Linked DNA regions of Caenorhabditis elegans. The protein of the gene in region 1 interacts with the protein of each later gene in a pairwise test. Each region holds a gene or a part of one and is shown in the gene's direction. Other genes may lie near its edges.

Region 1 (4,816 bases):
AAAAATTCGAAATTAGGAGAATAAATTGATTACGGTAGGTTTTATGCGATTTTCATGGTTTTCGAACTATTTTTTAAATATGCGCGAGTTTAAGTTAATTCGGATTCGTTTGTGATCATTCGGTGTTTAAAATCAGTTTGCGCATTTCAAAGTGACATCCCCGTCGTTGAATTTTCAACGTTTTTAAAAAATATTTTCAAGATTTTTCACAACTTTTCCTGCAAAAAGTTACCTGAGATCCGGAATAAATAAGTCCTTCGCCTCCCCAACGCAGACAGGTGACCGAAGCAGTGTGTCCACTCAAACAGCGAACTACAGTACCCTGTACGGTATCCCAAATGAAAATATTTCCGTCTTTTCCACAAGAAGCCAGAAGCCTGCACGTCGGGTCTTTGTGCATCGGTTGCCATGCCAAACTGCAAAAATTTTATTATAAAAATTCGATTTGAAATGGAAATGTTTAGTTTTTATGTTGAAAAATTAATTTTTGGCTAATATTTGAGAGAAAAACTCGGGTTTTCTGAAGCTTTCTGTTAAAAATCACATTTTTCCACTATGGATGATAAGTAAACTCATAGAAAATATTAAAAATTCGATTTAAAATACCCAAATTATTGGAATTCGAAATGGGTCTGCTAGACTACAAATTACAAATTTCGATTTAGCAGACCCAAGTGGTTTTGAAGAAGTTTGGGTCTGCTAGACTACAAACTACAACTTTCGATTTAGCAGACCCAAGTGATTTTGAAGTGATTGGGTCTGCTAGACTACAAACTAGAAATTTCGATTTAGCAAACCCAAATAATAGTGATTTTCAAAAGGGTTTCAGTAAAAATACATCGTTTCAGTGGGGTTTTAATGGAAATTTTAAGAGAACATTGTAGTGATAAATACAATTTTACGGCGATTTTTTGTAGAAAACCCAAATTTTCAAGACATTTCAGTGATAAATGCGATTTTCCTGCACCTCGTGATCCATTGCTTGTGCCTTTTGAGCGTTTTTCCGATTTGCTCTCCGGTTTTCGCGTTCCAAATGCAAATTTCTCCGTTTTTGCAAGCCGAAGCGATTTTCGTAGCATCCGGTGACCAGGCGATGCAGAGAACCCAACTTTTATGGGATTTACACGTGTGGAGAGGCAACTCGAGCTCAATATCCCAGATTCGCATTGTTTGATCGCCGGAGCCCGACGCTAGACCACGTCCGTCAGGGCTGAACTGAGCAGAGATTACTGGCTCTCCGTGACCTGAAAAATATATTTAAATGCGTCAAAACGATCAAAAAATTACCTGGAATGCTAGCGGAGCATCTGGTAACTGGTCTCACACGGAACACTGCTTGTGGCTGATAAACAAGCTTTAATGTCTGAAATTTTAAATTTTTTAAAAAGTTTTCTATCTTCTTTCAAGGGCTTACAGTCTCAAAATCAATTTCCTCTAACGATTTTCGAATGGAATCGACAATTTCAGCGCCTTCTGTGGTGAAGAAGGAAATCGGCACAGGATCGTCACTGAAAACTCAGGATGAGATACAGAAAATTCATTATTCAAACAAAACCTGCTCCCGAGAAGCTGATTACACAAAATTTGCAGCTCATTCGTGGAGATGTCCACTGGAACAAGGATTCCCGATCCTCCGAGCTCGTTTTCGTCCTCTGACACGAAGCTGACCGAGATTTGTGGACTTTCAGTCATTTTGTTACCTGAAACCGTTTGAGTTTTAATTATTTTGAAAGTTATAACAAGGGAAATCGTTGAAATTGAACTGGAAATCGAAGAAATTCGTTAAGAAATTGCGCTAAATAAATTATTTTTCTCAGTGGAGCGAAGAAAGAAATACAGTGGAAAAAGTTAGGCCATCACTTTTTAGCATTCATTTGTATAGAGAAAACTGTAAATTTTTTACAGATTGTTATGTTTTTACACAATATAAAACATTTTTAACGTAACAGCAGTAAAAACTATGTCGAAAACAATAAAGAATAGATAAAAACCTACCGGGAAAATTTGAATTTGGTCATGGTCGAGTTCTGTAGTGGCCTAGTAACCTCCACTTAATATTCGAAAACGTTTATTTTTCAGTTTATTGCTTTATTTCTCTATTTTTAATTAAATTATTAATTTTCCTGAATTTTTTGCGAAATTTACGAATTTTCAAATTATTTATCTTATAAATTTGCAGAAAATGACTGCAGTTGTCTCAAACCGCGAGGAGGACTCGATGAACAACGAGCCCTCGTTGTCAGGGCGTGCGATTATTGGATTAATCTACCCGCCGCCGGATATTCGCAGTAAGTTTTATAGTTTAAACCAAAAATAAAACAGTTCTGCATGGTTTTGGAAAGATTTCACGCGGAATTCCGCAAAAACTAGGGCAAATCGATATTTTCCAAAAATAAGCAATACATTTTCAATTTTCAGCAATCGTCGACAAAACCGCCCGTTTCGCTGCAAAAAATGGAGTGGACTTTGAGAATAAAATCCGCGAAAAGGAGGCGAAAAACCCGAAATTCAACTTTCTCTCCATCACAGACCCATACCATGCCTACTACAAAAAGATGGTCTACGATTTCTCAGAAGGCCGAGTTGAGGCTCCGAAAGTACCGCAAGCAGTGAAAGAGCACGTGAAAAAGGCTGAATTTGTGCCTTCAGCTCCACCGCCGGCCTACGAGTTCTCAGCGGATCCATCCACGATTAACGCCTATGATTTGTAAGTTTTTTAGAACTTCTAGAACTAAAATTAGATGAAAAAGCTATTTTTAACCTAAAATGAAGTGAAAACCTTATAAATTGCAGAGATTTGATCCGACTCGTTGCTCTGTTCGTTGCACGAAATGGCCGTCAATTTCTGACTCAATTGATGACACGAGAAGCCAGAAATTATCAATTCGACTTTTTGAAACCGGCTCATTGCAACTTTACATACTTCACAAAGCTCGTTGATCAATATCAGAAGGTAAAAATCAAGAAAATCTGCGTATTTCTAAGAATTTTTAAAAAAATCTAGATTTTTCGGTTGAAAACTCAAAAAAAATCCAGCTTTTTCGGTAGAAAACTCAAAAAAAAAACATTTTGATAACTTTTTCACTATTTTCAGTTTAAAGATGGCGGAAAAGTGAGCTTTATAACTTTTATTTGAAATTTTTAAGCTAAAAGTTGCTAAAATATCAGTTTTCAGGTTCTGGTGCCCTCTACCAACGTAGTTGCCCAACTCCAAGACGATGCTACCAACAAAAAACGTCTCATAGAAGATATCAATTATCGTGTATCCTGGGAAAAACATCAAAAAGGTCTAAAAGATCGCGAGGAGGCAGAAGCCGAGAAAGAGCGTCAAGCCTATGCATCAATCGATTGGCATGACTTTGTAGTTGTTCAGACTGTAGATTTCCAGCCAGGAGATACTTCTCAGCTTCCACCACTATGCACACCAAAGGACGTTGGAGCCCGTATTCTTTTGGAAGCGAGAAATGAAATGCAAAAGGCGGCGGCTGAAATGCAGGAAATGGATATGGAAGAGAGTGATTCCGATGACGAAGATGCCGTTCAAGGTGCTTTTTTGGAGCATTTTACGTTGAAAATAGACAAAATTCACTTTTTTCCGGTTTTTTCCAACAGTTTTACTTTTAAAATAGATGGAAAACAATGGCAAACTATGAAAACGCTGAAATTCAAATTTAAGTGCTTCCAACCTGGAATATTTAAAATTTTTAGGCGAATTCACATTTTATTTCGTAGAAAACGAACAAAAATCGCAATTTTGAGTTAAAAAGTAAGATTTTTTGGGTCTGCTAAATCAAAACTTGTAGTTTGTAGTCTAGCAGACCCATTCTCTTCCAAATCACTTGGGTCTGCTAAATCGAAATGTGTAGTTTGTAGTCTTGCAGACCCAAGCTCTTCAAAACAACTTGGGTCTGCTAAATCGAAATGTGTAGTTTGTAGTCTAGCAGACCCATTCTCTGTAGAAACTACTTGGGTCTGCTAAATCGAGTTTGTAGTTTGTAGTCAAGCAGACCCAATTTCTTCCAATTCACTTGGGTCTGCTAAATCGAAAGTTGTAGTTCGTAGTCTAGCAGACCCAAAAAAATCAATTTTTTTTTATTAGCTTTGGCAAATTTTAACTCGGAAAACTAATGAATTTTTGGGACATGTGAGTTTCTATCCAAATTGATGGTATGAATATCGATATTCTCGGCTGAAAGTGCAAAAACTACCGTATTCTGACCAACAATTATTGGAATAGAGCACACGTGTCACCCGAAATACGAAAAGTATTTTTTTTTAATTTTTCAAATTTTTAAATTAAAAATGAGTATATTTATATATTTTCAGCACCAGAAGCCCCTGCATTCACTGCTCCGCTGCCACCTACAAAACAGAAAGACGTGATTGTTCGAGATTACGATCCGAAGAGAAATGTGACCCAAAAGCCAAAAGCTGTGGAGAACTGGATCATTTCACCGCTCACCGGAGAGCGTATTCCATCGGATAAGCTCGCCGAGCACGTCAGATACAATACTGTCGATTCACAGTATAAAGAGGACAGAGATCGTCATATTGGAGAAAGAAGCACGGAGGAGCCCGTATTGGCTCTTGGAGCTGATATTTCTAGGTTAACATTTCAGAAATTTCTTTGAAAAACGAACAAAAGTCTAAAAATCGCCACAATAATCTACAAAAAATCGATTTTTCGTGGAAATTTTGTTCATTTCCGCATTTTTCGCTCGAAATTTGAGATCAGTGCTTCAAATTAGACCTGGAAAGATTCTAGCTCAATTTCAGAAAATTTGGGTTATCGTAGCACCAGAAGTACTCAAACACT
Region 2 (4,816 bases), on another chromosome or scaffold:
TCTAGCCTCTAAAGAGTTACAGCCTTTAGAAGCCACCTGACGGTTTTGACACCGTAGACGTTTCCTATTGCAATTTTTTTCGGGTTAGTCATACAATTATATTGTCAACTAACAAAATATAGGAAATTTGATACTGATCATTATGTTAGTTAGCAACTTTTTGATAGCACTATTGGTTTTCAAGATATAAGAGTTTTAGTCCTTACCCTCGCGGCCTTCGCGTTGTCCAGCCGCCTCTCCAACATTGCAATCCTATCATCAACATCGACTAATGCTTCTTTTTCGTTTTTTGGGAGCATTTCCTGTTAAAAAACATAATTTGACGTTAAAAAATAAACAATTTTCAAAAAAAAAATTTCGAAAAAAACACGAAATTTTTTGTGCAAAAAAAAATTTCCAAAACTTTTCGGGACTTTTTTCCAAAATCAAAATATTGAGCATGTTATATTATCATAACTACAAAAACTACAAACTACAAACTACAAACTACAGTATACATCAAAATTCTAAAATTTTGGCTCAAAAATCCCAAAATGGCCGTGCAACTGAGGCAGCTGTCACCATGGTGACCGTCTCCGTTTCTCTGCGTCTCTCGGGGAGCCAGCTCTCTCACATTTTGACAAATTTATTGTTTAGAAGCCTAAAATGGCAATATTGAACAGAAATTTCGAATGTTTCAGCGAAAAAATCGATTTAAAATTGGGTTACGGAAGCTTTAAAGGCGCATATAGCCAAAAATTGAGAAATCAGGTTTTTCTGGCATTTTCAACCAATTTTTAGAAATTTTTGTTCATTTTTTGCGAAAAAACGAAAGAAAACCAAAAAATTGAGCCAACAGCAGAGAAAAAACGATTTTCCGAAAAATTTAATGGTTACGGTAGGTTTAAAGGCGCATTGCACAATTTTTTGGGCTAAAAATGGAGAAACATGATTTTGCCCTACGGTTTAGAGTTTTTCATGTGAAAAATCTGGGAAAAACCAAAAAATTTGCTCCAAAAACTGAGAAAAATTGATTTTTTTTTTAAATTAAAAGGTTACGGTAGGTTTAAAGGCGCATCACACAAATTTTTGCGTTAAAAAGCAAAAAATTTAGTTTTTCTGTATGTTTCTTCAATTTTTTGTCAATTTTCAGTGAAAAATCAAGAAAAAACAGAAAAATTAACCCAAAAACAGAAAAAAAATCGATTTTTCGAAAATTTAAAAGGTTACAGTAGATTTAAAGGCGCATCACACAAATTTTTGGGCAAAAAGTTGAGAAAGTTGTTGAGAAAAACATTTCAACGTTTTCATGTGAAATATAAGGGAAACACCGGAAAATTAAGCACAAAACAAGGAAAAAACAATTTTTCGTAAATACTGAAAGGTTACGGTAGCTTTAAAGGCGCATTGCACAATTTTTTGGGCTAAAATGTAGAAACATGCTTTTTGCACTGATATTTATCGTTTTTCATGTGAAAAATCCAGAACAAAACTGTAAAAATGAGCCAAAACAAGAAAAATTGATTTTTTTGCAAAAATAAAAGGTTACGGTAGGTTTGAAGGCGCATAGCTGGCAAAAAATGTTGCAAAATGTTTATTTCAGCCCGCTTGATTGGCTTTTCCAGTAGAATTTGAGAAAAACGACTTTTGCCAAATATTAAAGGAATACAGGAATACGGTATGTTTAAAGGCGTATAGTTGAATTTTAATTTTAAAAAAAAACAAAAAAGAATTGCCCCGAACCAGGATCGAACTGGTGACCTCACGATCTTCAGTCGTGCGCTCTCCCAACTGAGCTATCGAGGCAGATGTGTGACACTCCTCTCGAGGCCATGAAGACAACAACTATGTACCCCCCCCCCCCCACACACTCAGCCCGTCTACCCGTCTAACACCCTCCGGCTTCCCCATTGTCTCTAGGAAGGCCGCGTGAGGCGGGGAGGCTGTCTCGGGCCCGAATTGATTGGGCCGTCTGCGGTCTCTTATGTTTGTGTGCTATCTCGTTGGGGGGTGTCTCCTGCCCAAAGGCCTCGGCTAATCCTTCATTCTTCCCGCCTTTTTCGCCTCTTGCTTATACCTTTTTTTTGCCGTTTTTACCAATTTTAGAGGTTTTGGAATAATTTTTGTGCAAATGTATAATAAGGTTGGAATAGTAATAATATTAAAAATTAATAAGAAAATGCGAAGAAAAAAAAACAAAAAAAAATCGCTTTTTCTCAAATTTTTCGAGTTATGCGCCTTTAAACCTACAGTAACTCTTTTCTTTTTGCAAAAAATCGCCGATTTTTATTGTTTTTTCTTGACTTTTAACGGTAAAAAGTAAAAAAATCCCGAAAATTCACAATTTTCCTAAAATTATTCGAGTTATGCGCCTTTAAACCGACCGTAACCCAATTTTGCGATTTTTTGTTGGTTTTTATTGTTTTTTCGCAAATTTTTCGGTAAAATTTTTTAAAAATGAAAATTTATTCAATTTCAGCACATTTTAACATTTTTCCAAGTTTTTTCTGCAAAATTTTTAGCCTATGCGCTTTTAAAACCACCGCAAAATAGGTTTTCTTTTCTGCAAAAGATGATTTTTGGGCTTTTTTAAAAAATTTTCGTTGCTTTTTACGCTTTTTTCTCAATTTTTTGGCATAAAAATGATGAAAAATCATTGAAAATCGCTAAAATACAAATATTTTCCAAGACTCCAGCAAAATTTTGAGTGATGCGCCGTTAAACCTACAGTAACCCACTTTTTTGTTTTGCATATCGATTTTTGAGTTTTTAAACTGATTTTCAACGGTTTCCTTGATTTTTTTTGTAAAAAATGTCGAAAAATATGATTTTATTTTTTATTTTTTTTAGGAAAATGTAAAAAATAAATACATATCCCGCAAAAAATCGATTTTTCCACTCAAAACCTTTTTTTTTCTTGAAAAATATTCAAACTTTCAGAAATGGAATCCACTCAAAAAGACATCAAGCTAGAACCCGACGAATTTAACTACATAATTGCTCCAGGAGCACCAGAATCTGAAAATTTAGCTGAAAATCCTGAAAACCCCGTAGATTTATCGGAAATTCCGTTGGAAACGAAGCCGGCGTGGTTTCCGTCGTCAAAAGGCCGGTCTATTGTGTGGGAGCACATTACGTGGGTGGCTGAAAGCCAACGAGCCGCCTGTAATTATTGTGCTGCTGAATTTCAAGTTAAAGGTGACGTTTGACTACAAACTACAAGGTTTTAGAGAAAATTTGAAGAAAAATGACACTAAAACTACAGAATTGCAAAAAAAAATCGAAAAAAATGATTCAATTTGAGCAAAAAATGACAGAAAATCGAAAAAAAAGGCGCTGCTAACACTACAAACTACAAGATTTTGGGCGCTGCTAAGACTACAAACTACAAGATTTTGGGCGCTGCTAAAGCTACAAACTACAAAATTTTGGACGCTGCTAACACTACAAACTACAAGATTTTGGGCGCTGCTTAGACTACAAACTACAAGATTTTGGGCGCTGCTTAGACTACAAACTACAAGATTTTGGGCGCTGCTAATTCAATTTTGGGCGCTGCTAAAGCTACAAACTACGAAATTTTGGACGCTGCTAACACTACAAACTACAAGATTTTGGGCGCTGCTTAGACTACAAACTACAAGATTTTGGGCGCTGCTAAGACTACAAACTACAAGATTTTGGGCGCTGCTAAGACTACAAACTACAAAATTTTAGGCGCTGCTAAGACTACAAACTACAAGATTTTGGGCGCTGCTAAGACTACAAACTACAGGATTTTGGGCGCTGCTAATTCAATTTTGGGCGCTGCTAAGACTACAAACTACAAAATTTTGGGCGCTGCTAAGACTACAAACTACAAAATTTTGGGCGCTGCTAATTCAATTTTGGGCGCTGCTAAGACTACAAACTACAAGATTTTGGGCGCTGCTAATTCAATTTTGGGCGCTGCTAAGACTACAAACTACAAGATTTTGGGCGCTGCTAAGACTACAAACTACAAAATTTTGGACGCTGCTAACACTACAAACTACAAGATTTTGGGCGCTGCTAAAGCTACAAACTACAAAATTTTGGACGCTGCTAACACTACAAACTACAAGATTTTGGGCGCTGCTTAGACTACAAACTACAAGATTTTGGGCGCTGCTTAGACTACAAACTACAAGATTTTGGGCGCTGCTAATTAAATTTTGGGCGCTGCTAAAGCTACAAACTACGAAATTTTGGACGCTGCTAACACTACAAACTACAAGATTTTGGGCGCTGCTTAGACTACAAACTACAAGATTTTGGGCGCTGCTAAGACTACAAACTACAAGATTTTGGGCGCTGCTAAGACTACAAACTACAAAATTTTAGGCGCTGCTAAGACTACAAACTACAAGATTTTGGGCGCTGCTAAGACTACAAACTACAGGATTTTGGGCGCTGCTAATTCAATTTTGGGCGCTGCTAAGACTACAAACTACAAAATTTTGGGCGCTGCTAAGACTACAAACTACAAAATTTTGGGCGCTGCTAATTCAATTTTGGGCGCTGCTAAGACTACAAACTACAAGATTTTGGGCGCTGCTAATTCAATTTTGGGCGCTGCTAAGACTACAAACTACAAGATTTTGGGCGCTGCTAAGACTACAAACTACAGGATTTTGGGCGCTGCTAATTCAATTTTGGGCGCTGCTAAGACTACAAACTACAAAATTTTGGGCGCTGCTAAGACTACAAACTACAAGATTTTAGGCGCTGCTAATTCAATTTTGGGCGCTGCTTAGACTACAAACTACAAAATTTTGGGCGCTGCTAATTCAATTTTGGGCGCTGCTAAGACTACAAA

The links.
Region 2: the proteins of prp-21 (region 1) and bed-1 interact in a two-hybrid assay, tested with the Caenorhabditis elegans proteins (one large-scale study listed by BioGRID).

The regions. Positions count from the first base shown.
Region 1 is NC_003280.10:482,687-487,502, forward strand, and holds the start of prp-21 (uncharacterized protein), read left to right. Parts: upstream 1-2,179; 5' UTR 2,180-2,182; coding exon 2,183-2,288; intron 2,289-2,418; coding exon 2,419-2,707; intron 2,708-2,793; coding exon 2,794-2,953; intron 2,954-3,175; coding exon 3,176-3,545; intron 3,546-4,326; coding exon 4,327-4,606; intron 4,607-4,816. Other genes in the region: gldi-1 (NLE domain-containing protein), read right to left, coding at 233-416, 968-1,244, 1,288-1,363, 1,415-1,508, 1,556-1,692.
Region 2 is NC_003283.11:19,123,013-19,127,828, reverse strand, and holds the start of bed-1 (BED-type domain-containing protein), read left to right. Parts: upstream 1-2,915; 5' UTR 2,916-2,921; coding exon 2,922-3,177; intron 3,178-4,816. Other genes in the region: dyf-17 (Verprolin), read right to left, coding at 207-299.